Tamandua tetradactyla: one gene and its partners. The protein of the gene in region 1 interacts with the protein of each later gene in a biochemical or structural test. Links are inferred from orthologs where the notes say so. Each region holds a gene or a part of one and is shown in the gene's direction. Other genes may lie near its edges.

Evidence for each region.
Region 2: the proteins of TRIM28 (region 1) and IRF1 form a complex in vitro, tested with the Homo sapiens proteins (2 studies listed by BioGRID). The link is inferred for Tamandua tetradactyla from reciprocal best matches to the Homo sapiens genes TRIM28 and IRF1.
Region 3: of the proteins of TRIM28 (region 1) and SIRT1, one has a biochemical effect on the other in vitro, tested with the Homo sapiens proteins (2 studies listed by BioGRID). The link is inferred for Tamandua tetradactyla from reciprocal best matches to the Homo sapiens genes TRIM28 and SIRT1.
Region 4: the proteins of TRIM28 (region 1) and FBP1 form a complex in vitro, tested with the Homo sapiens proteins (2 studies listed by BioGRID). The link is inferred for Tamandua tetradactyla from reciprocal best matches to the Homo sapiens genes TRIM28 and FBP1.

The regions. Positions count from the first base shown.
Region 1 is NC_135342.1:134,515-142,157, reverse strand, and holds the start of TRIM28 (transcription intermediary factor 1-beta), read left to right. Parts: upstream 1-4,628; 5' UTR 4,629-4,643; coding exon 4,644-4,983; intron 4,984-5,075; coding exon 5,076-5,188; intron 5,189-5,382; coding exon 5,383-5,515; intron 5,516-6,747; coding exon 6,748-6,883; intron 6,884-6,971; coding exon 6,972-7,088; intron 7,089-7,169; coding exon 7,170-7,284; intron 7,285-7,371; coding exon 7,372-7,518; intron 7,519-7,603; coding exon 7,604-7,643. UniProt on the Homo sapiens protein: Nuclear corepressor for KRAB domain-containing zinc finger proteins (KRAB-ZFPs).
Region 2 is NC_135346.1:11,122,389-11,129,294, reverse strand, and holds the start of IRF1 (interferon regulatory factor 1), read left to right. Parts: upstream 1-3,895; 5' UTR 3,896-4,142; intron 4,143-4,356; exon of another isoform or gene 4,357-5,228; 5' UTR 5,229-5,233; coding exon 5,234-5,320; intron 5,321-6,607; coding exon 6,608-6,707; intron 6,708-6,906. UniProt on the Homo sapiens protein: Transcriptional regulator which displays a remarkable functional diversity in the regulation of cellular responses.
Region 3 is NC_135339.1:29,581,767-29,589,010, reverse strand, and holds the start of SIRT1 (NAD-dependent protein deacetylase sirtuin-1), read left to right. Parts: upstream 1-4,238; 5' UTR 4,239-4,418; coding exon 4,419-4,812; intron 4,813-6,131; coding exon 6,132-6,248; intron 6,249-7,244. UniProt on the Homo sapiens protein: NAD-dependent protein deacetylase that links transcriptional regulation directly to intracellular energetics and participates in the coordination of several separated cellular functions such as cell cycle, response to DNA damage, metabolism, apoptosis and autophagy.
Region 4 is NC_135328.1:121,205,337-121,212,698, reverse strand, and holds the start of FBP1 (fructose-1,6-bisphosphatase 1), read left to right. Parts: upstream 1-4,341; 5' UTR 4,342-4,501; coding exon 4,502-4,671; intron 4,672-7,362. UniProt on the Homo sapiens protein: Catalyzes the hydrolysis of fructose 1,6-bisphosphate to fructose 6-phosphate in the presence of divalent cations, acting as a rate-limiting enzyme in gluconeogenesis. Plays a role in regulating glucose sensing and insulin secretion of pancreatic beta-cells.

The DNA.
Region 1 (7,643 bases):
ATTCTTTGGGCACTTCCTTACTTCATGACATAAGAAGGTATTCCAGGCTCACCTGGGCTTGCTACTGCTCTGGCCCTGGAATCAGCCGTTTCTCCCAGGGCTCCTGGTGCTCTCAGCAAGGAGAGAAACCTGAGTCTGGACCCTGAGGACCTTCCCTCCTCTTCCCTCTCTGTAACCTCAGACGGTGGTCTCTGTCCTCACCTCTCCCCGCCCCGCCCCGGAACGCAGCAGGTGGGAGAGGTGCAGGTACTTCTGAATCCAGCCTGGGGCGCTCCAGGCCATCCTTCACCCCTCTCAGGGTCAGCTGTTCTGCCTTTGAAATGGGAAGTTCGGTCGGTCGGCTGAATACTGGACTTGGAAAATATCCCTGTCCTAATCCCTAGAACCTAAAGTGTTACCTGAGGAGGATCTTGTGACAGGACTCACCCTGGATTACCAGGTGGCTCTGATGCCATCATGTGTATCCCTAAGGGAGGACCTCAGGGCACAGGGAGCTCCAAGGAGGCTGGCCTTGGAGACTGCAGCGACGGGGCCAAAAGCCAAGGGGTGCCAGCCACCATTGGCACTAAAAGAGGCAGGAACCGATTCTCCTCAAGAGCCTCCCACATGCCCTGCAGTTCAGTCCTGATGAAACCTTGATTTCTACATAATGAACCTTATTTAGGACTTCTGGCCTGTGGAGCTATAAGAGAATACATTTCTGTTGCTTTAAGCTGCGTGGCCTGTGCAATTCATTACAGCAGCTTTGTTAAACTAATACCTGCTCTTCCTAACCATGTTCCACCAGGAGGCTTTGAAATGGGAATTCTCATGCTGTGTCTGCTAAGACCTTCTGTTGTCTACTCATCACACTTAGAGAAAAGCCCAGCTTGGAACCGCCAAGGGCAGGCAGTGTCCATCCAGCAGCTGTGTTTGCGACAGCACATTCAGGGCGGCCCCAAACGCAGGAAGCCCTGGCTGTACTGGAGGAGCAAGTCTGTGCATCAAGCAGGCAGAGTGCATCTGTGGTGCTCCAGGGGGGCTCCAGGGCTGCGCAGGGTGTGCCCGCCCTCCTCTGTGTCGATAACCCCACTGAGAGCTCATCGAGTCCTGCTGGCTTCCAGGCCGGGAGGCGATGGGAGTGGGAGTGACGGGTGCTGGGCTTCCTGCTGGGGTGATGAGGATGCTGTGGGAGCACACGGCAGTGACAGCTGCATGACACTGTGAATGTACCAGATGCCACTGGATGGTACGCTGCAAATGGTTAAAAAGGTAAGTTTCATGTTATGTGAATTTTACCTCAGTAAAAAAAGTAAAAATAAAAGTGTTGGAACCTACAAACAAAACGTGGCACGCTCATACAATGGGATATTATCTGTCCATAAAAGGGGATGAAGTGCTGCGCTATAGAAGGACAGCAGCATATGACCCCACTTATGTGAAAAATCTTGAGTCCACACGTTCACACAGAGAGAAATGGATGGGGTACCAGGGGCTGAGGGGAGGAGGAGCCGGGAGCTCAGTCCTAGGAAGCACCAAGCTTGTGTTTGGGGTGCTGGGAAAGTTTTGGGGATGGATGGCTGCAGGACACTATGGGTGTCAGTAATGCCACCGAGTTGTCTGCTTAAAAATGGTTAAAAGGTCAAACTTTATGGGATGTGTGTCTGTGTGTGTGCATACACACACCCACTGAAAAGTAAATTGAAAAAACAAAGTGATAGAGCCTGGCCGCATTGCAGGCTCCACACCTGCGGGCCGGGCGTTGGGCGCCCACAGGCCCAGGCCCCCAGGTACATAGCACCCACCGAGACTGCGCAGAGCTCAGGGACCGCATTAGGAGTTGGCCCAACAGAGTGGCGAGTGGTCTGCGTGGAGGGGGCAGCAGGTCACAGGCTCCGAAGTGGGCACAGCAGGCTAGGCCTTGGGGCTGGAGCAAGGCGAAGTTAGAGGTCACAGGGCTGGAGCCCAGGACTCTGGCTGGAGACTCACCCTGCATGTGCATGTGCAGCAGAGCACAGAACACAAGCTCCGCTTTCCCACTGTAGTCCACACACCTCAGGGACGTGAAGTACATTTGCAATGCTGTGCAGCTGTGACAACTACTGAGATCCAGGACAGGGTGTGACCTCCCGTCCCTGCAGTTCCCCACCAGGTAATAAACCCACGGACGTGCCTACGTGCAGCCTGAGGCTCAGGGTACCAGCGGAGGCCCCGGCTGCTGGCTGGTGGGAAGGGGTTGGCGTGAGGACACGTGGACAGCAGGGCGCTGGGAAGCATGAAGGAAGGAGAAAAAGGAACACAAACCCAAAGGGTCACTGCAAGAGCAGCTAGCCCATTGAAGCAGGAAGTAGAGTAGTGGTGCCATTGGTTGGGGAGAATGGGAGTGAGTGCCAGTGCGTAGGAGTTTGTTTTCGGGGTACTGGACAAGTTCTGGAATTAGTGATGGTTGCACAACTCTGAATACACTAAAAACCACTGAATTGTACCCTTTACATGGGCAAAATTATATGAATTATAGCTCAATAAGGCTTTTATCAAAACAAAACAACAGCTCTGAACAGCTCTGAGCCTTAATCCTGGACAGAAGTCTGAGCTGGAGTGGGGAGTCAGGGAGGAACGGCCAGTGGGTGAGAGAGGCCAGTGGGTGGGAGAACGCGGAGCCATCTCAGCACCTCAATTCACCCCCTCCAGTCTGCAAAGGGGTGTAGTGTCTGGAGGGCAGGAGGCAGCGAAGGGGAGGTCAGGGGTGTGGGGGATGCGAGAGTAGGAGGCCAGATGGACCTCTGCTCATCTCGCCTGTCTGGAAGCTCTGGCCGTCTGGTAGGTCCTCGCCTCCCAGGGCTCCTCAGGATCTAGTGAGGGAGTGGGTAGGGGCTGGAATGGAGCACAGGTGACCCTAGGGTGGCAGGGGCCTAGCCACCACCTGCCCAGGTCCTCCAGCTGCCCGGCCTGCCTCAGGGCCTTTGCACTTGGGGCTCCTGCCCTCAGGGTGTGGGGGTGTCCTGCCCTTAGGGGGCCCTCCTCTGTGCTCTTGACCATCACCTACTTATTTGGAGCAGCCTGGTTCTTCTGCCTCCGCGACCAGGCGTTTGCCGCAGGGCCCAACACGGGGCTGCCCCAGCTCCTGGGATTCGGGGGCCCAGCACGCGGCGGAGAACATATGTTACTTTTGGCAGGGGACCCACAGCTTGCGCCCAGCGCGGCCGGCCACCAATCTTCGTCCCCAACTACTAGAGAAGGGTGGGCCCGCGGTCAGGAACCTTAACGGGGAAGGAGCTGCGGGTGTGGGGTGGCCCCCGGCTCAGCCGGGCGAGGTCAGCGGGGAAACCCCACCGCGGGGGGCGTCAGGGCGCCGTTGCCGCGACCACCCGGCGGGGCGGGGCTCGGAGTTTAGGGGCCGCGCGCCGGGGCTCGAACAAAGGCAGGGGCGGGAACCAAGCCGTGCGACCCTCCCCCAGCCCCGCCGGGGAGGCCACGCCCAGTCCAGGCGCCCCGGGGAGCGGACCAGCCCCCGCCGCGGCCCCCATCCTCCCGGAAGCCTCCTCCCCGTCTGCCGCGGTGTCCGCGACTCGAGGCCGCGCCACCACCGGGGACACTGAGGCAGGCCGGGCCCTGTGCGCGCCGCGGTCACTGCAGAGCGGCCGAGACCCCCCCCGCCCCGTGGCGGTCCCTCCCGCAAGCTTCCTCCACGCCGAGTGACCCCTGCCCCTCCTCAAACAGGACCCCTCCGCCCCCTCCTCGGACAGGACCCCCGGCCCACTGTTGAGGCTCGAGACGCCCACCTGGCAGATGATGGCAAAGCATCAAAGTCAGGACGGAGGCTGGCTGGGTGACGGGGAGGGGACGCTTGGGGGGGGTCGGGTGGGATTTCACGGTTTGACTGCTTTGTTACCCCTAGGGTTTGGGGCAATTTCCTGTATTTCTCACATTTAACAATTAAAAAGGTTTAAACGACCGAGGTCCCCGCCTCCACCCACCCTTTCCGCAGGGATGGGGACCCTTCACCTCTGGCCCCGCCCCTCGCCTCGACCCCTCCCCTCGGCCCCGCCCCACGGAGCCATTGGTGACGCCACGGCTGGAGAGGTTTCGCACGTGCGCAGTACAGACGCCGGCCTCCGCGCGGCCTACAGGTGGGGCTGGGGCCTGGGGGAGCGCCCGCCCGAGCGGCGGGACGGACGTCCCGTGGCCCCGCCCCCACCGCGCGAGCCGCGCCGCGGGGCGGTGGTGGGAGGGACCAGCGCTTGCGCGTGCGTACTGACAGGTTCGCGGTCGGCTCAAGTCCCGCCCCCGGACCGCGCGACGACCAGCGCGCATGCGCAACGGCGTCGGCGCCAGTTATTTCTGTCCCGCCCCCCGGCCGCGGCTCTTTCTGCGAGCGGGCGCGCGGGCGAGCGGTTGTTCGCGTGGCGCAGGGCGGGAGCTCGACGGCGGCGGCGGCGGCGGCGGCGGCGTCGTCTGGGAGGCGGCTCGGCGGGCGGCAGCAGGCGACGGCCGGCCAGACCTCGGCGGCGCCCCGCGCGCGGCTGGCGGCGGCCCGGGCGGCGCTCGGCCTCGCGGCGGCTGCGGCGGCCCAGGCGGCGCGGCCGTTGGCGGCGATCGCGTCTGCGCCTGCGCGGCGGGCCCTGCGCCCCTCCTCCCCCCTGGGCGCCCCCGGCGGCGTGTGAATGGCGGCCTCGGCGGCGGCGGCCTCGGCCTCGGCCTCAGCGGCCACGGCGGCCTCGGCCAGCCCGGGCCCGGGCGAGGGTTCTGCGGGCGGCGAGAAGCGCGCGTCGGCCTCCGCCTCCTCGGCGGCGGCCTCGGCGTCGGCGTCGTCGCCAGCGGCGGGCGGCGGGGAGGCGCTGGAGCTGCTGGAGCACTGCGGTGTGTGCCGGGAGCGCCTGCGGCCCGAGCGAGAGCCGCGCCTGCTTCCCTGCCTGCACTCAGCCTGCAACGCCTGCCTCGGGCCCGCCGCGCCCGCCGCGGCCAACAGCTCCGGGGACAGCGGCGCGGCGGGGGACGGCGCGGGTGAGTGCGGGGGCGGGGCGGGGGACGGCCCGGGCCGAAGCGCCCCGCGGCCGCCGGCGCTTACCCTCTCCTGCTCTTCTCTGGCCTCGCAGTGGTGGACTGCCCCGTGTGCAAGCAGCAGTGTTTCTCCAAAGACATTGTGGAGAACTACTTCATGCGCGATAATGGCAGCAAGGCCGCCACCGACTCCCAGGACGCAAACCAGGTGCGTGCTGCCCCCCTGCCTTGCGGAGGGGCCTGGGGTGGCTTGCGGCCCGAATCAGCAGTGAGGGTGCCCACCGCTTCCCGGCGGGCCACCTGGCCTGGTAAAGGGATGCCCCTTCTCAGGTGGGGGTTGTTGGGATGTAGATGTGGAGCCATCTGCGGCCCCGCCCCCATGACCCCACCTTTGCACGACAGTGCTGCACCAGCTGTGAGGACAACGCGCCGGCCACCAGCTACTGTGTGGAGTGCTCTGAGCCGCTGTGCGAGACATGCGTGGAGGCGCACCAGCGGGTGAAGTACACCAAGGACCACACCGTGCGCTCCACCGGTACATGGGGTGCCTCAGGATGAACTGCCAGCAGTCCCTAATGGCAAACCTCCTTGAAAGGAGGAGGGTTGGGGTTCTGGGGGTTCGGACAGGGGCCTCGGTGCACAGGGAGCAGATAGCATTGGAGAGCCTTGCGAGAGAATGTTGTGAAGGGTCCAGGCAGGGGAGGCAGGTACAGGTGGGGAAAGCCAGTGTCCTTTGCAAAGGATGTGAGGGGCTGCCTGGACTAGGGGTTCTCTGGTACGCTGGCTTGAGGAAACACTGGGGAAATTGAGGCCTAGGGACATGGGTCTCTTGACCCAGGGTTTGTCAGTGACAGGAAGCCCCCAAAATGTCCTAGCTGTGGGATGGCAGTTTTCTGCCTACAGTCACGGGTGCTGTTTCCAGTTTCTGGGTGGCTCTAGGGTGGAAAGGGGCTCAGGAGCTCCTGAGCCTGACTTGGTGTCTGGCCCACGAGTTGGCCTGTCAGAGCTACCGTGCAGCCCGGAGTGGGCCTGAGTAGCCGAGAGGGAGGAACAGGAGTTCACATTGGGTCTTAGGTTTAGGGCAGATGTAGATGCCTTGGAGAAGGCAGCAGCTGGGACACTGAGGCCTGCTGATTTCTGTTCAAGTGACACCTGCCTTGGGCTAGGTGAGCTGTCACAGAATCGGATGTTGCAGATGGACAGAGGAGGGTCGATGTGCCGGGGCAGCTTTCTAGTAGGGTAGGTGATTTATTTTGGTCCCAGAGTGTGCTGGTCTAACATGTTCTCTCCTCAGATGAGTGGAGCCAAGAAAGGTCCCCTGTAGACTTTCAGGTTGTAAGTGGTGTGTGGCTTTGTTTTGCTCAGCTGTAAAGGGGAGGTCAGCAGACAGCTCTTGTGCATAGCAGAACATAGGCAGGGTGTTTTTGGGTCTGTTCCGTATAGGTGTTGATGCTGTAGTGGGTGAACACACTCTGCTGGGCAGATGGTGCCACGGATGGAGGAGAAAGCTCAGAGGGGGGTGTTGTCAGGAGGCCTGAGGGTAGGAGCTGTTTCGAAGTACACAGCTGGGCAGAAAGCAGTGGAGAGCACCCTTACTGTCAGTGTTCTCAGAAGTGGGAAGAGCCAGGACATCTGTCTGGCCAGGCTCGGGCATAGGGTGCTGGGGTTGCAGGCTGGTACTCCCTGCACTCCCAGCAGCATTCTGTGGGGTGCTTGAGGTGCGGGTGGCCAGAGGTGAGGGCCCATCTCATGGTGCCCGCCCTGCAGGGCCAGCCAAGTCGCGAGATGGCGAGCGCACTGTCTATTGCAACGTGCACAAGCACGAGCCACTCGTGCTGTTCTGTGAGAGCTGTGACACCCTCACCTGCCGGGACTGCCAGCTCAATGCCCACAAGGACCACCAGTGAGTCCCGTGGCTGGCCTGGGTAGGGTGGTGTGGGCTGCCTATCCCGTGTTGTGTGTCTAGCACCATGTTCCCCCTTGCCCTACAGGTATCAGTTTCTGGAGGATGCAGTGAGGAACCAGCGCAAACTCTTGGCCTCACTGGTAAAGCGCCTTGGGGACAAGCATGCAACACTGCAGAAGAGCACCAAGGAGGTTCGCAGCTCGTAAGTGGGGATGCTGGGGCTGTGGGGGGAATCTGGCCTTGTGCCCACTGGGGCTGACCCGCCCTGACCTGCCTACTGCAGGATCCGCCAGGTGTCTGACGTGCAGAAGCGCGTGCAGGTGGATGTCAAGATGGCCATCCTGCAGATCATGAAGGAGCTGAACAAGCGGGGCCGTGTGCTGGTTAACGATGCCCAGGTCTTGTCTCTCTCTCTGGGCTGGAAGGGTCCTGGGCCATCTCTCCCCTGCTGACCCCACCCCTTGCCCACTGCCCCCACCCCACAGAAGGTGACTGAGGGTCAGCAGGAGCGCCTGGAGCGGCAGCACTGGACCATGACCAAGATCCAGAAACACCAGGAACACATTCTGCGCTTCGCCTCGTGGGCCCTGGAGAGTGACAATAACACTGCCCTGTTGCTCTCTAAGAAGCTGGTGCGGGGTCGGGTGGGCCGGGAGTCTCGGTGGGCTCAGGGTGGGCAGATACCACGCTGCTGCTCACACTGCTCCCTGCCCACAGATCTACTTCCAGCTGCACCGCGCCCTCAAGATGATTGTGG
Region 2 (6,906 bases), on another chromosome or scaffold:
GCTCACCTGGGGAATGAACAGTGAGTTCTGAGAGCCTGAGAGGCAAAGCTAGGGACAAGGGCAGAGGCTTCCGCAGGGAGTGATGCTGATTGTAGACATCATGTCAAAGGGGGCCCTGCCAGCCGTCAGCCCCTCCACCAGCCTGGAAATCCCCAGGACCTGGTACAGAGCAGCCGCGTGAGAAATTCACCCTGAGCGAGGGCATGGATGGGAGGCATCTTGTGAATGACACCCTGCCCCAGAGAAGGTGGGTGGTCACCACCTACTAATTCCTACTGACTCCAGAGTGCAGGGTGTGAGGACTCAACTCAATTCTCTTACAGAAAACTTGCAGACTTTGATCCCCAGAATGTATTCACCCAGAAGATGATAAATGATGAAAAGGTAACGTCTGAAATTTAAGGGCCAAGTGGTTCTGAGCGAGAAAAAGACTCGTGGTTGGTGCTTTGGGGCACTTCATAAAGACCAAGGATTTGCTCTGGCCTTAAAAAGATGACTGAAATTGTGTGTGTGTTTGAGAGAGAGAGGTAGAGATAAGTGAGTGTTGCTATGTCTCCCGGGAATATAAGGATGAGGAACAAATGGAAGGCATGAGAGGGGAAAACAACATGTGTTTAGAGGATGGAAATACAGTGAAAGGTTCAAACATTAGTTAATACATTTCATTTGACTAATGTTTTACAGTTTGGGAAGGATTTTAATAGTCTATCTAATTTCATCTGCACAACAATCAGGAGAGATGGCTAAGGATTATCTCCAAATTACAAATGGGAAACTGGGCCCCAGAGAGGCCCAGTAACTTGCCTAAGATTACACAGCAAATGGCAAAAGCATGACAAGAACTCAGGCTTTCAGACTCAAACCCTGTGTTCCCTTTCTACCACCCTCTAGTTACTGCTGAATAGAGGCAAAAGGAGAGATGGCTGGAATGGGACCCAGAGTGAGCAGGGATATGAATGTGGGGCTGAGGAGTCTGGAGGAGTTCTGAAGGCTCCTGAGTAGAGAGGAATGTTAGGGATGTCATCCCAAGGACTGTACAGAGACACCTGGAGGGGCAGGCCTAGGAGGGAGGGAAGAGGGAGGGGAGGCTAGGGCAACAGCAGTGTGGTCCTGGAATGTGAACACATGATCTGATGCAGGGAAGGAAGTCCCAGAGGACCAGATAAGCCAAAGGGGGGAGGAGGTTGGCAAAGACATCAACAGGGAGGGAGCTGCAGTTAGGAAGAGGGGAAGCTACCAGAGGCAGTGTAGAAGGGGAGGCTGAGAGTTCTGCTTGCTTGTGTGTGAATCTGTGGGTGGGGCTGTAGGGGAGTGTCCAGCACGCAGCCAGGGCCTGGTTTTGGAAGATGCCTTCCCGGAAGGAATAGCTGGAATTACAGAAGATGATGAGAGCTTTGAGACAGAGAGGGTAGAGGGCCAGTTGGTCCTTCATGGCTCTGAATTACTATGAAAAGCTGAGAGAGGCTCTATGCGCTTTACTTAGCATCACAGGGAATGTGTGATAGATCTTATGAGATTCAAGTGTAGTTACGATAAAAGCTTGGGTGCTTAAACAGAGTTTAGCTTTATTTCACTGAATTGGAGTATAGCATCCCCAATCAAGATAAGCTGATTCTTAGAGGCTTCATGTTAAACAAGAACACCTAAAGTTAAAAGTGAAAAGAAAAAAAAAAGTCAAAGGACACTTCAAAGATGTAAAGGACAGTTTCACTGGTAACTCCTAAAATTGGGGATTTTCTCCTAAGCAAAAAATTGTTGCTATGCACTAGGATTTACACAGTGTGGTTTATAGTATGGGAAAAAAATGGAAATAACCTAAATGTTCCATAATAAGGGATTAATTGGGTAAATTTTTGTTTATCCTTATGACAGACTAATATGTACCCATTATAAATGACACTGGAGCAGTACATTACATTTCATGGCATGGAAAGATGCTTATACACACACACACACACACACACACACACACACACACAGATGATTATCTGTGAATTAAACAAGTTATTGTTATAAAGCACTTTTTACATTCTCCAGTTGCCTTTATAGGATCACTCGGGTCAATTTCTCAGGGCACTACATGTAACCTTCCTCTTCCTAATTTCATTCTGAATTTTCCAGTGGCAGTGTCTATCCCTCCCCAGGTTCTGGGGGACAGCACAGGTATCCACTGACAGAGAACAGACCTGAAAACTCAGGAGCTGCTTATTTTCTGTTCTTGCTCAGAAATTCCTGGTCCCTGTCGCAGGGTTCCATTCCCATTTATTACTGATCTTTCCTTCCACCTGTCCCTTTCAGGGCCTCAGCACCTTCCGTTTTCCTTAACACCCAACAGGGCTATTTCCTTGCAGTTCCTCCTTACTTCTCTTATAGCCACCTCTGTCTGGGTTGGAGACAGCTCTGACTATTCCTGCTGGTCTCCTGGGAACCAGGTTTAGTGTCAACTATAGTTCTCAGATTCTGGTGCACCACGTTTGGAAAAACCCCTCGGCTTTCTCTGTGGGAGGTAGGCAGTGGGGTGACTGATAGGTGGAATGCGGTATCAATGATTGTATTAATAGCCTGCATCAAAGTAATTGGGTGCTGCTGTGGAGGTAGTGCTGGGGTGTGGAGTGACACAAACAGCTCTGCTTGGAAGAGTGATTTACTTCTGAGTCAGCAGCTTTGGGGAGGTGAAGGAAGGGACTAGACATGCCTGGCCACAGTTCGGAAAGGAAAGAGGAACACTCAGCTCAGCCTCTAGGAGTACAAGGTGGGCAAGGTTTAGTTGTGAGCACAGAGCTAAGCTGTTACCCTTACCAAGGGACCTGGGGCCTGGATTCCCCAACTCTCAATCCAGACCCATGGCCTTGGCCAGCCCCAAGCAGTTCCCCCATGCTGCCCAGAAACCCTTTGGACAGGCCTTGGGAACCCAGAGGCAATACCATGCAGAGGCCTTGTGAGGATAAGGAGGTGGCCTAAAGAAGGAGTGCTAACAGGGACCCAGGCTGCCTCAACCCCCAACCCAACTCTGCAGCCCCAGCTTGTCAGGATCCCTTCCTCTCCTCCCTTTCCAGAAGTCCAGCCAGGGGGCAGGTTCAGGGATGCAGGACACGAGGCGGAGGGATCTCGCTGGTCACTGTGAGATCCTGGTGCAGGATCCTTGCAAACCATGTAGCATGTGCCGAATGGGACAAGGCACTTTACAAACATCACCTCTCTCGTCACTGCAGCTCTGCAAGGTAAGACTGTTATTTTGCAGTTGAGGAAACTGAGGTCCAGAGTACCTTGGCAGGATGTGCTATAGAGACTGGACTGAAATTGCCTCCCGCGCAGCAGCCCCAGGCAGCGCGTCAGACAGGATCGGCTTTCAGCCTCCTTTCGTCCCTAGGACAGGCGAGTGACCCCTCAAATGGGGGCTGTGTGAGGGCCAAAGCCCTCCCTTTTTGACTCCCCATTAACAGGCTAGAAGAGGCAGGCTGTTTCTTCGGGCTTTAGTCACGTGGGGAGGGCGTCTCTTGGGGAGGGCGGCAGGTGCCTGGATAACCCCTTCACCTGTGCACGCAAGAGGGGAGAGGAGGTGGCCACAGGAGCTTGCAAGCTGCAAGAAAGCAGAATGGGCGGGGTTAATTGCGGCCGGGACGTTCGGCCTTCCAGGACAACCTCTTTTCCAGGACAGCTGGAGTGGGGGTAGAGTGGGTGCCGGCGGGGCGGGCCCACGGTCGCCCCCGGGCGGCTGCGCCGGGCCGGAGGGGGTGGGGAGGAGCAGCCGCCCTGTACTTCCCCTTCGCCACTAGCTCTACAACAGCCTGATTTCCCCGAAATGATGTGGCGGCGCCCGCCAATGGGCGCCCGCGCGACTCTAAGGAGGCGGGGCCGGGCCTGGGCTGGGGGAATCCCGCTAAGTGTTTAGATTTCTCGGTGGCGCCGCTGTCTCGGCAGAGCGCGCCACTCCTTCGCCAAGGCAGGACGTGCGCCCAAGTCGGGCCGAGCCCAGCCGGAGCCGTGCCAAGCTTAGGCTAGCCCTGCCCGGAGGCCCTGCAACCCAGGCATCCTCTGCTTTCTTCCCCTTCCCACCCGGATCGCGCTACCAGCGCCCGCACAGCCGTCCCCCGCCTCGCCAGGACCCTTGGGCGCCGCCTCCAGATTTTCCCACTGGAGAGGTAAGTCCGCTTTCGCCGCGGGGGAAACCGGCGGCGTCGAACAAAAGGCGCGCGGGGCACCAGGAAGTAGGGGCCGGACGCCCGGGCCGGGAGAGTCGCGGGCGCGCGGCGTAGCCTGGCCCCCGCGCGCGCTCGGGAGGGCGCTGCAAGAGCGGCGGGCGGGCGGCGGCGCGGGGAGGGCGGGCTACGTCGTGGTCCGCCCACCCCGCCGAGGTTGCGGGAGCCCTGCGCTTTCGCAGATCCTGTCTGCGCGAAGCGGCCCGGGACATCGGGGTGACCCGGTATGTCCGTAGCGTGCATCCTAACGCGGTGCGCGGGGTGTCGGGTGTACGCCTCGCTTGGGCGACCTGCGCTCCTGACTCGGGCTTTCCGCGGTCTCAACTCTGCGCTCAGGCCCCAGGCTTTCGGGCCCCCTTGTGCTTGCTGGTGGCTGGGGTGAAGCTTGTCCCCGGCTAATCTGCCGGGGCTGCCGGAGGAGGCGCTACAGGTGCTTTGGGCCACTTCGTCCGGGGAAGGGAGTTGAGGGATGAGGACGGGAAGCCAGGCCAGAAGAGTTAGTGTCCCGGCCTGAGCGCCGTGACTGGCAGGCAGATGTAGAATGGATTTTCGGGACAAATGTCCAGGGCGCAGGTGCTGCTTGCTCATGAGGGGAGGTGCACAGCTAAGTGGTTACAACTCAAGCCAGAAATCTCTTGGATAAAGCAAAAGAATCCCCTCCCTTTCCAAAGGATTTGGATTTGGGGAGAAAAGTTCCGGTATTGAGACATCCGTATATTTTGTCTCTTTTCCTGCACTTGAATCCTGAGCTTGCCTGTCTGTTCCCGGGATTGGTGGGAGGGGGAAATAAAGGGCAGTAGTGCCCTTTTTTTTTTTTGTCTGAGATGTTAAAAAGATTTGGGTGGGGGGGTGGTTTTATTCCAGCACAGATCTCCTCCCTATAACTGCAGTGCCTTATAACCTGGCCCCAGGGTTCCTAGAGTGTGTGAGAGAAGAGGAGAGTAACTGAGTGCCTTCTGGTGGGGCAAGATAGTGCCCAGGGGCTGATAAACAGACTCCAAACAGGAGCCCTCTGTCTTCTCTTTACAGCCAACATGCCCATCACTCGGATGCGCATGAGACCCTGGCTAGAGATGCAGATTAATTCCAACCAAATCCCGGGGCTGATCTGGATTAATAAAGTGAGTGTAACTTTGGGTTTTTCCTTCACGATTTTAACCCATGTTCTTTGGAGACCAAAGTTTCAGATACAGCTCAAAAAGGGAAGTGATAAGGGGACAGACAGATGTGTTTCCTGGTGGGTTGTGCATGCAGGGAGTGTGCAAGGACACATTTGCCCTGATTCCTGCCTTCCTCCCTTCTCTTGGGAGACAGGACGCCTGCCTGTGGGCACTTACAGTTTCTAGCAGCAAAACTCTCCCAGCATCTGCAGAGCTTGAGTCCTGGCCTTTCTTGAGGGAGACCCATACACACACACACACACACACACACACACACACACACACACACAAAACCATCCTTACAGGGCTCCAGGCAGATAGACAGAGAAGTGGGCACTGCTGGATAGGAAGATGGCAGGCTTAGCAGAGATCCAGAATTAACCTTGAACCAGTTGCCCTGGCCAAAGAAGCCTCCAGCTGATGTGCTTAGGGAAACCTGGAGACTGCAGACATAGTGATAAGAATAATATTCATAACATTAGCCAATACTTAATGACACAGCGTGCCTGGCACTGTGCTGTTTTGTGTTATGTCATTTAATCCTCACAGTAGCCTGTGAGGTAAATTCTATTAATACACCCATTTTTATTTAAGGGGACTGAGGCCCTGAGGGTAGCTAATGAGATCACATAGAAAGTTAGAAAGCCAAGATATGAACGTGAGCAGTCTGACTCAAAAATCCACTGTTAACTACCAATAACAGCATCGGCGAGGCCTCAGTCTTTATATTTTTCACTATGTCCCCCACACATCCTCTAATTTTATCCCTACAAAAAGCTCTTTTAGGTCTCTTTTCTTATTTCACAGAAGGGAAAACTGAGGGGCAAAGAGGTACAGTGATAGTGCCAGGGTGACAAAGGTCATTGGCATCCAAGTCTGGTCCAGGGCTCCCGCAGGTTAGGCCAGGACCCCCTGTGGTCCCGGATGTCCTGAGCAGGTCCCTTTAATGGAAGTTCTCAGCAGCACCTTTCATGTGGATGCTGACAAGCCAGACAGAAGCATCCTAGAGCTTAGAAACCAGGGCTACACAGGAGTGGACTCTGGGGTGGTCCTAGCACACCTGTAATAGGCAGAAGGAGGTCTTTGCTGAGCTGATGGTGCCCCAGCATCCAGAGTTTAAGTCAATCTCAGGGTGAGTCAATGTAAGCTAGATGTCAGGATGAAAAGGGAAAGTCAGCCTTTATCCCAGACTTAGTTCCAAAGGCTGTGGTCTCTGTGAGGTGATGCAGCCTTGTCTGTGCTGTCTAGGAGGAGATGATCTTCCAGATCCCGTGGAAGCATGCTGCCAAGCATGGCTGGGACATCAACAAGGACGCCTGTCTGTTCCGTAGCTGGGCCATTCATACAGGTATGTACCCTGGACTCCAGCCTGGGAGGGGCCAGGGAGGAGACAAGGGAAGGCAATTCTGTTAATACGGGGACTCTTCACGGGCATTCCTGAGCTCCTGAGACTTGCAGAATTGTGTGTGGGTGGAGAGCAGACTTGTGTTTCTGGGGAGAAGAACCACTGTTTCAATAAGTTCTTAGAGAAATTTGTGAAGCCAAAA
Region 3 (7,244 bases), on another chromosome or scaffold:
AGAAGTCAGCACTTGTGTTATAACCTAGTCAAAAGAATTAAATAACATACATGAAACCATAAAAGAATAACATCTGCTAAACTTGTGATATAACCAGGAAAAATTTAAAAGAAGTTGTGCAAGACAAGAAAGCTTGCCAACTTCTCAAACCTCCAGGGTCCTCAGCCTTGGAGTTTCAAAAACAAGTTACTATTTTCCCTTAGCTTAAAATAAAAAGTACTCATTATAGTATGTGAAATTTTAACCAGATATATATATTGATGTTTTCTCAGCTCATCAATCATGCCCACCCCCACATCAAGGGATGTTCAAATGTTAGCATTTTGGTATGTTTATTTCCATACTTTTTCCCTGCCTCTATAAACCACATTTATATATCGGTTATTATATATTTTTTACTTTATTATAAAATGTTCACTTTATTTAAAATGTAGAACCTCTTTATTTTTTTCATGTAAAATTTCACCTCCTCTTGATATTTTTAAATACTTTTAATGCTATATTGAATTTTCCTTTCAAACTACAAAAACAATATGAGAAACAAACCAAATAACACAGATGATATATAGAGAAGAAACAGCAATCTCCGTCTTCCCCAGCATAACCAAAGTCAACAGACTGGTTTATATCCTTCTACACTTTGCTCCAGGTTCACACAAACCACACTATTCACATTCAGATATATCTCAACTGTCTAGTGTATATCTTTCCACACTTTTCTCTTTGTGGTTAATTTTTAAAAATAATTTTAAGAAGTGCATAAGTTATATATTATTGTGTAACTTGTTTTTGTCACTTAGTGTGTCATTGACATTTCTCAACAACAGTTGTAGATTTTTGATGGTTGTGTAGTATTCCATAATAATTTGAACAAGTTTCCTTTTGTTGGCCCTCTGGATCATTTCTTGATGTTGATGTTTTCCCAGCATCATCAGTGTCACAATAAACATTCTTGTGTTTATATCTTTACCTATTAGCACTTTTCTTTTTTTTAAGACAAATATTCTCCACAGGGGATTTTTGGTTGAAGTAAATGTATGTGTGTACTTACGATCTTAGTAAATATTTTCAGATTGCTGTTCAGATTATAATATGATGTCATACTATGGCAATAATACATGAGAGTATCAATTTCCCTGTATTCTGATAGCAATATAATTTGTGAGTTGTTTTTCTTTCTTATTTAAGGAGTAAAAATGATACTTCATTGTTTGAATTGCATATTCCTGACACTGATAGGGTTGATAATATATCAAATTTTTATGTAGTCACACATATTTAACTTTTTAATGGCTTCTGTCTTGTTTAGGAAGTTCTTTCTTGATCCAAAGTTATATAAATATTCTTCTAAAACATCTTATAATATTTTAATTTTTTTTTCATTTAGATCTTTAGTCCAATGGAATTTATTTTTGTATATAGTGTGAGGGAAGGCTCTGCATTTGTTTTCTTTCTATTAATAATCTGTTTTGCTGATTCCTTTTTATTAGTACACAGAGAGTCATTACTAAATCCCCTACTAATCATAATCACCTGATATATATCAAAGCTCTAAGACCATTTATTAGTTTATAGAAATAAACCTCCACACTATTTAGAATATTAATGTTGGCTCTTTATTTTCTCCCCATTGAGAAATTCTATATTGGAGGTCAAATTACTGTTGAAGGCTACTTAGGAAGTTTAGCATTAGAAAGAGTTAAATAATCTAATGATTAGTGTCAAAAGTCAGAATCTCTGAGATAGCCCAATACACCTATCAAACAAGGTGCCAGAAGTCTCATGTCATCAGTTTCACTAATTGTCATCTGAACGGTACTGGGGGCAAACTAACACATTTCTTATCATTTTTGGTAGAGTCCATATTGACCCATAACCATTATTCAATAATTTTTTTCCTATATGGAAACTTTCATGTAGGTTCTTCACTCATTCTTTTATTCATTCATTCATCCATCCAACAAATATATGTGCTAGTTACTGTGCTAGAGAACTGATGATACAGAGATGACCCAGGTGAAAAAATTTCTGATATAGTTGGGGGAGATAGTCATAAAACACTAAAGAAAAATGTTAATAAATAAAATAGTGTAATGTACTCAACAGTATACTGAATAGGAAATAGGGAGGATATTCTAAGGATGAAGGCACAGGCAAAAGTATAACAAATATGTGGAAGGCATGTATTTATTTTAATTTAAGATGTGATTCTAGATTAATGTTGTGCATATAAAAACAGATAGGTATATACGGCCTTCCTACCACCTTCATTTATTTCTACAAATAGCACTACAGTATATACACTGCTCTGCTTCTTGCACTGTGTCATTTGGAGGTCATTTCATGTGAGAATTTAAAGATCTTCCTTTTTTTTCCCTTTACTTACAAAATATGAAAAGCTCAATTTAGAATATACTAATGCTAAAAATTACAAGAAGGGCAAGGCCAGTGTGATATATTGAATCATGTACCCCAACAACAGACATGTTCTTAACTTAATCTGCATTCCTGTGGGTGTGAACCCATTAGTAAATAGGACCTTTTGAAGATGTATTATCAGTTAAGGCCTGAAATCATTTGTGAATAGGGTCTTCTAAGATCCTATTTAGGTGTGGCCAAACTAATTTATGGCAGACTTAATGCATATTATTGGAGACCTTATAGAAAGAAAGTCACGGGAAGAAAACTGAAGTCGGAAAATAGAAGACCAGACACAAGGAGGGGAAAAGAGAGAGATGTGATGGGGACAGATAGATGCAAACCAAGGAAACCCAAGGATTACAGGAAGCCAGCATCAGAATGCTACATATTTCGGGGAAAAAAGCATGGCCTTGCTGATGCCTTGATTTTGAATTTCTAGGCTCTGAAACCACCAGAAAATAAATTCTTATTGTTTTAGGCAACCAGAATGTAGCATTTGTCATGGCAGCACAGAAAACTAAGACAGCCAGATTCACCTGGGATCTAAAAAACTAAATCCGAACTTGTAGGCCATAGCCACTAAAACTACTTGAGTTTTAGGCAAATAGTTCTCAAACATTGGTAAGGCAGAAGTCCAGTCGGGACGTACAAAGACTTGCGGATTTAGATGGACCTTTGAGATACATTCCAACATCGTAATTTTTTTTTTAATTTTAGAAAGAAGAAACCGCTTAAGTGTATGTATACGGCACGCAGGTAACTGGTGGTATAGCCAGGACCAATATTATGGTTAGAGAAAGGTGTACTATAACCTCTGAAGGTCTTTCCTGCAGATATAAAATGCAGTGCTCACGTTGGTGACTCACCAAGCATTGGCTCTAAATCTGCCATGCATTGTAAGGGTCCTTAGTTAAGTCTAGATATGGAGTGGAAGAAATTTCACCCGGGGCCTCAGGTAAAGTAGAAATTAGAGGGGCTTCAAGTAGGGAAGGAACTAGTATTTTTCTAGGTACTCTGTATCCCTCATTTTACATTTAGCTCACCATAACTCTGCAAAATAGGTATTATTACCATTTGGGGGATGAGAAAATTGGGTTTAAAAAGGCTAAACTGCTCAAGCTTGAAGGATGTCCCCAAATTCTAGCCCAAATCCAGTGTTCTCCTCATACCGTTCCACTTAGCCCACACACTCATTCAGCACGTGGGAGAAACGAGACCTAGAGAAGGGAATTCACACACATTTGGGGCCAAGCTGGGACGAGAAACTATATCTGATGATCCCTATGTCCCCAGAGGGAGGATGTCCAGGCGGACACATGCCTTCAGGTATGTGACAACCTGCACAATTCTACAACTGATAGGAAAATAAGCAATCGACTTCAAAGAGAAAGTAAGAAGAAAAAGCCAAAAAGGAGCTGTCAGACTGTCGTGGAGGGGTGGGGGGCGTTCTCTGTTCCTCGTCTTTCATTAACAAAACAGAAATGACTATCCATCACATTTCTGGAAGTGAAGCCAGCTTCATTCTTTTTCGCCTCTCAGGAACATTTAACCCTTCGCTAAACAGAGGCAAGCCTGAGGTAGGCAAGTGTGTACTTTAGGCAGAAGTGAACCAAAACTTGAGCCATCCCGGCAGCAATTATCTGAGAACAGATTGAGAGAAGTTGAAAAAGCTGCGAAAGGGCGAAATCTGCGGCGCGACGCTTCTGCCCTAGAGGGGCGGGGCCGCGGGCTACGGAAGTCGCGTTTCCTCCCAGCCCAAGCCAAGCCCTGACGCCGCGGCTCAGCCCAGGCCTCCGCCCCACCACCACCACGTGACCCGCGGTGTTATGGTCTGGCCCGCGAGGGTGGCGGGAGCCGCAGGAGGGCGGGGGCGACAAGGGGGCGGATCACGTGATAAGGTTTAAATCTCCCGCAGACAGAGCCGCGGGGGCGCCAGTGCCGCGCGTCGAGCGGGAGCAGAGGAGGTAAAGGAGGAGGGCCAGAGAGGCAGTTGAAAGATGGCGGACGAGGCGGCACTCGCCCTTCAGCCCGGCGGCTCCCCCTCAGCGGCGGCGGCCGAGACGGAGGTCAGGTCGCCGCCGGCGGGGGAGCCGCTCCGGAAGAGGCCTCGGAGAGACGGCCTCAGCCTCGGGCGGATACCAGGCGAGCCCGGCGGGGCGGCCCCCCAACGTGAGGTGCCGGCAGCGACGGCCCTGTGGCGGGAGGTGCCGGTGCCGGTGGCTGGCGGAGAACGCGAGGCCCGAGAGGGCCAGGCGGCCGTGGCGACCGGTGGAGACAATAGGCCTGGCCTGCAGGGCCTATCCCGAGAGGTGCCGCCGGCCGACGACTTCTACGACGACGACGACGAAGGCGAGGAGGAGGAAGAGGCGGTGGCGGCGATTGGGTATCGAGGTGCGCAGGGCGCGGGCGTTCGGAACTGCGCATCCCCTCTTCCCTCCCCGGGGCCCCTCCTGGCGGTAGGGTGGGTGCTTCTGGAGCTAGGCCGGGGGCTTGGGGCAGGCCCTTCGGCGTCCCTGCCACCAAGCTCCCTCGTCCAGCTGCGCTCTTCCGAGGCGGCCGGAGAGGCCGCGGGAGCGGCCCAGCTAACTCGCTCCTTTGCTTCTTGGCTTCCTCCCTCCTTCCCTCTGTCTCTCCGTCTCTGTTCGCCGCCCACCGGGAAGGCCCTGCGCTTTGCGCAGCCGCTGGGTCGGGAAGCTCTAGTAGTTGGCTTTAAAATAAGTTTTTCCCTCTCTCCTTTTAGCATATTGCTTTTGTTAAAGATTTTTGCTTATCTCCGCCCCCTCCCCACTCCAAGCAAAGTCTGCAACTTTCCGCCTGTCCCGTTAATGGACCTTTGCAAACGGACATCTATGCAGATTGTTACTTTTTTTGAGGGTCTATATTTTTAAGCTTGAAGTTTTAAATTTTAAGGAGCAAAACTATTTGTGAAAACATAGTATGTAAAGTTTAAAGAACATGGCTGTTTCGAAAGACGTTATTCTGTGATGCAATTAACATTGGGCACAGAGAATGATCGTAGTTTTAAAGTACTTTATGTAGATATTCTTTTCCTTCTAATCATGTTCTTGTTACGGTTTTTAGGCTAAGTATACTCTTTCTCAGTGTGTATATATAACCCTGAAACACGAATTGGCGTTTTTCTAGGATGCTGGGGCGGATGCATTGGTTCTATGTAGCATGTCATCCATGAGGTTTTCGTATCTTTAATTTGAGCACTTGATCTCAAATAGGTGTACGTCTGTATCAATACTTATGTGTGCATTTGGGATTGAATTAGTAAAGCAACCCTTCATTGCAAGAAACTCCATTTAGTAGGAGAAACGAATAATGCAAAGATATCTTCTGTCTAATATTATATAAGAGTTAGAAGTGCAAATTGCTGTGCTTATATTTGAACCTCTTTTATAAGTTCTTTTTGGATAGTATTCATGAACTCTATTGTTTGTGATTGACAAATTCAATTAATCCCTATCTTTTTGGTTTCATTTTTTTTAATAGACTTTATGTTTAGATTTACTTTTAGATTCTGGATAGAATCCCTAAAGATGAAGTTACCGCTCTCATGAAGAATTCGACTTGATCCAGTAGGCATTCATCACACACACAGCATGATATTAAGTGAAAATCTTGTATCTAACTGTTATAGGTCTTCATACATTTTAGATGCAGGTAGTTACAGCGGTCTTGAGTTACTTTGGTTTCTTTTGCAGATAACCTTCTGTTCAATGATGAAATTATCACCAATGGCTTTCATTCCTGTGAAAGTGATGAGGATGATAGAGCCTCACATGCAAGCTCTAGTGACTGGACTCCAAGGCCAAGGATAGGTACTGTTTCAAATCTATACAACTTTAGAGACAAAGTGGTTTTTGTTTGTTTATATTTTCCTTTTGTGCCAACTAAAAATATAATTGTCCCCTAATGTGAGGAAGTTCTTTGGAGATTGGTAAGATTTAATGCTAGCTTTTTCTAGGGAGTTGAGTGTTCTGTTTTATTGTTGTTTTTAAACAGCTCAGGCCCATGGAAGCTGGCCTCTGCTATTTCTCAAACAGTCGTGTTCTTCCCACACTTCTGGTTCTTTGCACTTGTACCCTCTGGAATGCTCTTCCAGTTAGTGTCTTGTTCCCTCACTTTGTGGTATTTACTTAAAGGGTATCTTTTTCAGGAGACAGATCCTAAACCCCATCTAAATTTTGACTGCTCTTTTCACTACAGCCCAGCCAACCCACTTCAAATCTCTTCTTAGTTTTTTTCTTGATATTTCTTAACAAACTTGTATTTTACTTATCTTTTTATTGTCTGCTTCTTGTGCTAGAATGAAAATATACTCCATCGAGGCAGGAAATTTCGATTTGTTTGTATATGTTTTTTCTGTGTCTTAAAAAGTACTGAAACATAGAATGCACTCAAGAAATATTTCTTAAAGATGTGATTGTGATGGGAATGTATTTTGAAGTAGAGAACACTATCAGATATTTATAGCAAAGGCGTAACATAACTCTTGAAGGAGATCTTTTTCTTAATGTGTTCTCTTTTAAATGGCTTAACTATTTTAAAATACTAATGATTAGTTCCTTTTTAGTGCCTGTAATACTTATTACATTTTTGGCTTTTTCTCAAGCTAGGAAACTGATCTGAAAAGATTCAGGGTAAAAGAATATATACTTAATGCTCAAAACATTGTTGACACTGTATGTATTAGTTTCCTAACTGCTAAAACAAAAAAAATACTGTATGGTTGGCTAAAATGACATCCAAAATCAAAGCATCAGAAAGGCTATGCTTCCTCTCCAAAGACTGTGGCAGAGTCTGGCTGCAAGGGA
Region 4 (7,362 bases), on another chromosome or scaffold:
TTGGATGTTCTACATTTTGGTTATCCATTCATCCATTGATGGACACTTGGGTTGTTTTCTTCAGCCCTCTTTTGATGGCAAGAGAACTTAATTCCTTCTGTTCAGATGAAAGCAACAGTTGATGTTATCCACATCATAACAATGCAAACATGTACATACCATGTGCTTACCACATGCCAGGCACCATCCCTACACACTTCAGTGGCATTTCTGTACAGTCCTTACATCAACCCTACTAGGTGGCTATATTCAAGAGCCCCACCTGACAGGTGAGGAAACTGCTGTTCAGAGATATTCAGTAACCTGCACAGATTTGCACAGCCAGTAAGTGGCAAGGTCAACTTTAGAGCCAGGAAACCTAGCTCCAGAGTCTATGAACTTAACCATCTCGCTAAGTGGCCTCACTCCAAAGGGGAATGTTAGGCCTTGTGGGTGCTGGCTTGAGCTGTCTATCATTGTGGATGACTGTTGTAAATAACTAGAAAGGGTCTCTTCCATGTATTTTGTGCCCTCTGCATCGGGCTCTGAGCATCTCATTTCATCCTCAGGATAACCCTGCCAGCTAGAACAATCACTCTTTCACAGACGAATACACCAGTTTTGTAGAGATTGGGTAACTGGCCCAAGATGTTCAGGCTAGTAAGGGCTAGAGCCGGAAATCCCACAGGCCTGCCCAACCCAAATTCTGAACTCTTAAAGAGGTTAAGAGTTACAAGACTTCATTCTTTTATGGCTGAATCATATTCAACTGTTTGGATGTACTACATTTTGTTTATCCATTCATCCACTGATGGGCACTCGGGTTGTTTTCTTCAGCCCTCATTTGACAGCAAAAGATGACGTAGGCACCATCCCTACACACTTCAGTGGCATTGCTACAGTCCTTACATCAACACTACTAGGTGGCTACATTCAAGAGCCCCACCTGACAGGTGAGAAAACTGCTGTTCAGAGAGGTTCAGTAACCTGCACAGATTTGAACAGCCAGTAAGTGGCAAGGCCAAGTTTAGAGCCATCATCATCTTCTCATCAGGGATGATGTCCAAGAGATTCAAGCTTCAGAAGGGTTGGGTTGAACTAGATGACTTTTACAGTTCTAGCCAATCCAAGTTACTGAGCATCTTCATTTCCTTGGCTGCTCAAGCAAACACCATGCAATGAGTTGGTTTGGACAATTTGAATTTATTGGCCCACAGTTTTAAGGCTAAGAGAAATCTAAATCAAGGTATCATCAGACAGATGTTTTCTTCCTGAAGACTGGCATGTTGGAGCTGGGTGCTAGCAATCCTTGGTCCTTGGCTTGTCAGTCAAATGACAATGCACATGGCGGCCTTTCCTGGCCTCTGTATTCTCTTTCAGGTTCTGTTAAATTTCAGCTTCTTGCTCCCCATGGCTTTTTTTCTGCCTGAATTTCTTTCTGCTTACAAAGAACTCCAGTAATAGGATCAAGATTCATTCTTACTGAGGTGGGTCACACCTTAACTGAAGTAGCCACATTAAAAAGGCCCGACTTACTATGGGTTACACCAACAAGAAGGTATTACATTTAAGACCATGTTTTTTTGGGAGTACATACAGCTCCAAACCATCACTCTAAGGGATTAGAAATCTGAGATGTAAATGGGCAAACCCTTGAATGGAGTGGCTATACTAGTTACTAGGCCAAAAGCATTAGTCATCACGTTGCAGATTTTATATTTAAGGAAATATATCTCTTCTAGACATTTTTTTAACATTCCATGCTACTTCTCCTGAAAAGTTGCATGAGGAACAAAGAGCTAAGTGCAGTTTGTGCTGCCTCAAGCGGTCTGCCCTCTCTGCAGTGGTTATCAACACCCCCTTGGAGAGACAAGTACTGTCTTTCCTGGTGGTACCACCACCTTCTCTTGTAAGCCTCCCCCATGTGACATTCCTGGGCACCCTAGATTCCACCGACGAAATTCAGCAGTTTTCAGTTTTCATCTTGATTAACCCATCTGCAGTTTTTAGCACAGCCATCACCCCCTGCTCCTCGACTCATGGGCTTCATCTGGCTTTTGGATGCCACCTCTCTTGATTTCCAACCTACCCCTCCTTGGCAATCTCTCCCAATCTCATGGCTCAAAACAACTGAGGTTTTCCAATGTATACCTCCAGCAATGACCTCTCCTCTGAACTCCAGACTCATAAATCCACCTACTTGGCAGTCACTTGGATGTCTAATGGGCACTTGAAACTGAGTATGTCCCAGAATTAGTCCCTACTCTTCAGGTGTCTCCAGCATACTCCCCTCCTGGTCTTCTCCATCTCAGTTAAGGGCAGCTCCATTCTTCTCCAGCCTTTGAATCATCCCTGACTCCCCTTTCTCACACATTTCACTTGTCAAAAAATCCCATCAGCTCCACTTTCAAACTATGCCCAGAATCCAACCATTTCTTATTACCTCCATGGCTACTTTCTCTGCCCAACCCCCCACCATCTCTCAGTAACCTCAGGAGTATCTGTCCTCTCTCCTCTTTGGATTAATCTAAACACAGTAGCCAGAGTAATCATGTAAAAACATCAGATTAGGTCATGCCTTTCCTCTACTGAAAACTCTCTAATAGTTTCCTTCCTACTGGAGTCAAGGTAAAACCTTCCACAGGCTCCCAGGCCCTATACCACCATCCTACCATCCATGACCTTATCTCCTCCCTTTTGCCCCTTGCTAGCTCTGTTCCAGCTACAGTGTCTCCTGGCCATTCCTCCAACATGCCACACCCTCTCACCCCAGGGTCTCTGCACTTCCTTCTCTCACTGCTGAAAACATTTTTCTCTAATCTCCACTGGCTCCTTCCTCAGGTCTTTCAGTTCTTTGCTCAAATGTCACTTTCTCAATAAAACCTCCCTGACTCCTCTATTTATCTCTTCCTCCCCAACATTCCCCATCTTCCTTTCCTATTTTGGTTTCCTTTATAGCACTAACCCCCATCTAACATATTAGAGCTATTATTTAGCTTGTTCATTGCCTCTTTGTTACAAAGTAAGCTCCATGAGGGCAGGAGTTTTAGCTGTTCTGTTCAGGCTCTATCCCCAGTTGCTTACGACAGTGACCTAGTAGGTACACATACTAGACAGCACATAGTAGGTGCTCAATAGATGTTATGAACTGAATCAGGGCATGACCAGCCTTAGGGCAGCACTTCTGTGGTTGCAAAGCAGTTAAGGGATGGGCTGTGGAGCCTCAAGGCCCCAGAGCTACCATGGATTAGCCGTGTGGTAGGTAGGAGGCGCTTTTCTGTCTCTGCAACTGTTTTGCTTTTCCTCTGCAAAAAATGCAGGTGCTGAAAGTTAAGATTCCCTGTAGCCACCCCCCACCTTTTTTTTCTTTCTTAATTTTACTGTGGTAACATAAAACAAAATTTTCTATTTTAACCTTTTTTTTTTAACATGGGCAGGCACTGGGAATCAAACCCAGGTCTGCGTCATGGCAGGCAAAAATTCTGCCTGCTGAGCCACCGTGGCCTGCCCTATTTTAAGCATTTTAAGTGTATAATTCAGTGGCACTAATTATATTCACAATATTATGCTGTCATCATCACTGTCCATTACCAAAACCTTTTCATCACCTCCAACAGAAACTCTGCACCAGTAAAGCAAAAACTCCCCATTTTCCTCTCCCACCAGCCTCTGCTAACCTCTAATCTGTCTCCATGCATTTGCTCATTCTAGATATTTCATATAAGTGGAATCATACAATATTTGTCCTTTCGTGTCTGGCTTAGCTCATAAACTCAACGTAACGTTTGAACGCTTCACGCACGTTGTGGTATGGACCAGCACTTCATTCCTTCCAACAGCTTTCAAATTATAGGACTCTATAAAGAGGAAGAGGCCTGAATTAAGGATTCACACCTGGGCCATCAGGGCAGGGGCATCCACTTCTGAGGTCGGTCAGAAAAACCAGGTAAACAAGCCCAGCAGGGGTCACCGGCGATGGAAGGGCAGGGGGCGCTGCGACCCGGCCACGCTGGGCTGCGGGGATGGCTTCTTCACTTACTAGCTGTGCAATACTGAGCGAGTGACTTAACCTTTCTGAACTTCTGCTTTCTAGTTTGAAAAATACAGAAATCAATCAATCAGTCAATCACGACTGTACCTCTCGGGCAGGACTGTTGTGAGGACTGAAGGAGATCAGATGGGCGGCCCCGAGTGACGCTCCACAAACGCAAATGGCTGTGCTCCGCCCACACCGAGGCGTGTCCGGGCGACTGCGGGGTGCGGGGAGCCAAGAGCACTGCAATATCAGGCAGTTTGAGTGAAATCCCCGCGGGCGGGGTTGGCGTGGGGGGCCTGGGAGGGACCCGAGCGTGGGGGGCGGGGACTCGGCGCCTATAGGCTCCGCCAAGACACACCCCTCCGGTACGCCGCTTGGACCAGGTCCGCTCTTAACGGTGCAGACCTTCGGCGCGCTTGGGTCGAACTCTTGCTGCCTTGTCGCCGCCTGCACCTGCCGCCCAGCGCGCCCCAGTCGGGTCCCATCATGACGGACCAGGCGCCCTTCGACACTAATGTGAACACCCTGACCCGCTTCGTCATGGAGGAAGGCAGGAAGGCCCGCGGCACGGGCGAGATGACCCAGCTGCTCAACTCGCTCTGCACGGCGGTCAAAGCCATCTCCACCGCCGTGCGCAAGGCGGGCATCGCGCACCTGTGAGTCAGGTCTCCGGCTGCCTGGGGTCGCGTCCTGTCTGTCTGTCTGTCAGGCTGGGGATCTCCGACACCTGGCTCTCTGGCCACCTGCTGTCAGCCTTCGTCTCTCTGACATCTAAGAGTCTCTCACTCTCTCTGATAGTTCCTCTCTCTCCAGAAGCCTGCTTAGCCGCACTCAAACCCAGTCGTCCACCCTTAACCTTGGAGGGACCCAACTGGGGGTGTTGGGGGTGGGGTGGGGCGAGGAGAGTCTGTCTCCCAGGTCGAAACCCGCACCATCCTGCACCCCTTCTACTTGGACTGAGCAACCTGCCTTGACAACATCTCTCAGCTCCTCCAGATGCAACAGACTGGCCAGGGATGGCACGTGGCCGGCCCAAGTGCCCCATCCTAGTCTGGGATCATCTCACACAGGAACGTGTGGAGTGGATGCCTTACTTTCTGGTTCTCTTTTTTGGGATTGGAGTCCCAAGTCAGGTTTCCAACCCACTATCTCTTTGACTCTAAACCCGGGCAGGTGGGAGGGAGCCTGCCTGCACAGAGCTGCAGAGCTGTTTTCATGCAGTGTTCTGGAGGCTGGCCCTGCCTGGGGCAATTGCTGTGTTGTCCCACAAACACAGAAAACTCACCCAGACAGGTTAAAAACTTCTATCCAATGCAGTAATGGTGTGTGCAGCCCTTGCCCAAAAGCTGTGTGTAAATGAAAGAGTTTTAAATGAGCTAGGCTATGAATGTACCTCAGTTGTTGGCATTCCCAGGAATTACTTAGGAGGATCCTCTTAAAATGTGGCTGGGGGTGGGGCCTGAGATTCTGCATTTCTAACACATTTAGAGTGTTCTACTTGTGGGGCCACAACTCTAAGAAGCAAGGACTTACGAGGCATGGTGACTCAAAGGGTACCTTCTGTGAAGTTTCCTGTAAGTCACACAAATACCTTCTAATTTATCCTGGTGCACTAAATTATTTTATTGACTGGCCGTTGCTGTAACTGAAGGGTCCCTGGGTTTTCAGATTGCCCACACTGCTTCCTAACATTTCTCATGATTATGAGCATTGTTTTTTAAATGATGCATGATGCTCATAGCTGATCTAAAAAAAAGTGCAACCTTCCTACTTTGGAATGCATTTTCTACATTTATTAAAACGGCCCCTCTCCCTACACACACACACACACACACACACACACACACACACACACACACACACACACACACACACACACACACAAACTTCCTGCAACCTGGATTCCTTTTCAGGCAGCCCGTTTGGTACCAGAGTATGGGCTGGTAGAGCTAACTCTTCAGAAAGGAGCGCAAGATCACATGTTTATTTTCAGATATCAAGCAGGGTAAGAGAAATTGGAACAGGTATAATAGAAAGGTGGTAGCTCGTTACTAATTTCATCTTTGACCTTTCTTAATAACATATTTCTAAGGATTCTTTGCTTTAGGAAACATGTTCAGTTAAAATCTCACTTCAGATTTCATTTTCGAGTATCGGTGGCCTCATGACTGAGAAAAGGGAGCTTTTTTTAAAAAAAGAACTTATCATGTCTTCTATTTTTTAAATGTTTCAGTACCTTTCAGAAACCCATAGAGTCTCAGAAACTCAGGATATGTTTTGAGGTGTATCTTTCCTATCTTCTAAGTAACCTCAGTGTTTTCTGATTGCTTTAATGTTTTTATGAACTCTGAACACTTGGAGAGAGGTGTGTTTTCCCTGATCAGATAATGCCTTCCTTGTGTATATGACTATGAGAGTGGATTCTGGACAAAGGGTGCTCATTTTAGCTGCATGAAATATGTGTATTTTTAAACTAGATAGTTGTGATTAATTGTTGTTACTATTATAATTTAATCAAGAAATTTCATTCACTGACAAAAATTCAAACCATTCAAAAAACATAAAGCAATAAGTGAAATTTGTCCATTCCCTGGATTTTCCACTGTTAGTAATGTATGAGTTATTTTTCCCAGATATTTCTTAATAATCAGAAAAATTTACACATGGACATATATTTTACATATGCTTACATGTAAATATCAAACAAAATGGGATCACACTTAACATACATTTCTGCAGTTTGCTTTTACCATTCAACAGTCTTATAATGAGCATCTTTCGCATCAGGACATGTAAATCTACTTCCCCCCTTTTAAAGGCTGTGTAATATTCCACTGCCTGGACCTATTGCAAAGTTATTTTATGACTGTCTTTGGGCATTTAGGTTTTCACTAGTATTTGCCCATTATAAATAGCATTGTACCCTTGGAACTGGTGTCAATGTGTAGTCATGATGGTGGCTGGTGGGAGAGAACCAGAAACCTGTGCACTTAAATACTCCTTTGGGAAAGGAAGAATTTGGCTCTTCTCCATATGACATGTAGTCAGGCTGGCAGCAATCAAACATGATCTCGAGTCAGGCCTCCAAATTACATTCATTACAGGCTTTGATTTCCCAGATGAAAAGCCCAGAGTGCCTGCAAAAAGATTGTTAGTGCTGGGAACTTGCCCTAGAAGGATATTCACCCAGAGGGACAGGATGATGGCAGATTTGCAGTGACTTCACAGAAACATGTTTAAGGAGCATGACGATGACATCTCATCGAGGAAACATCAGAAATTGAGGCGTACAGCCAGATTTCCTTTCTCTCCATCTCTCATTTTTGCCTACAGCTGCCACTTTCATA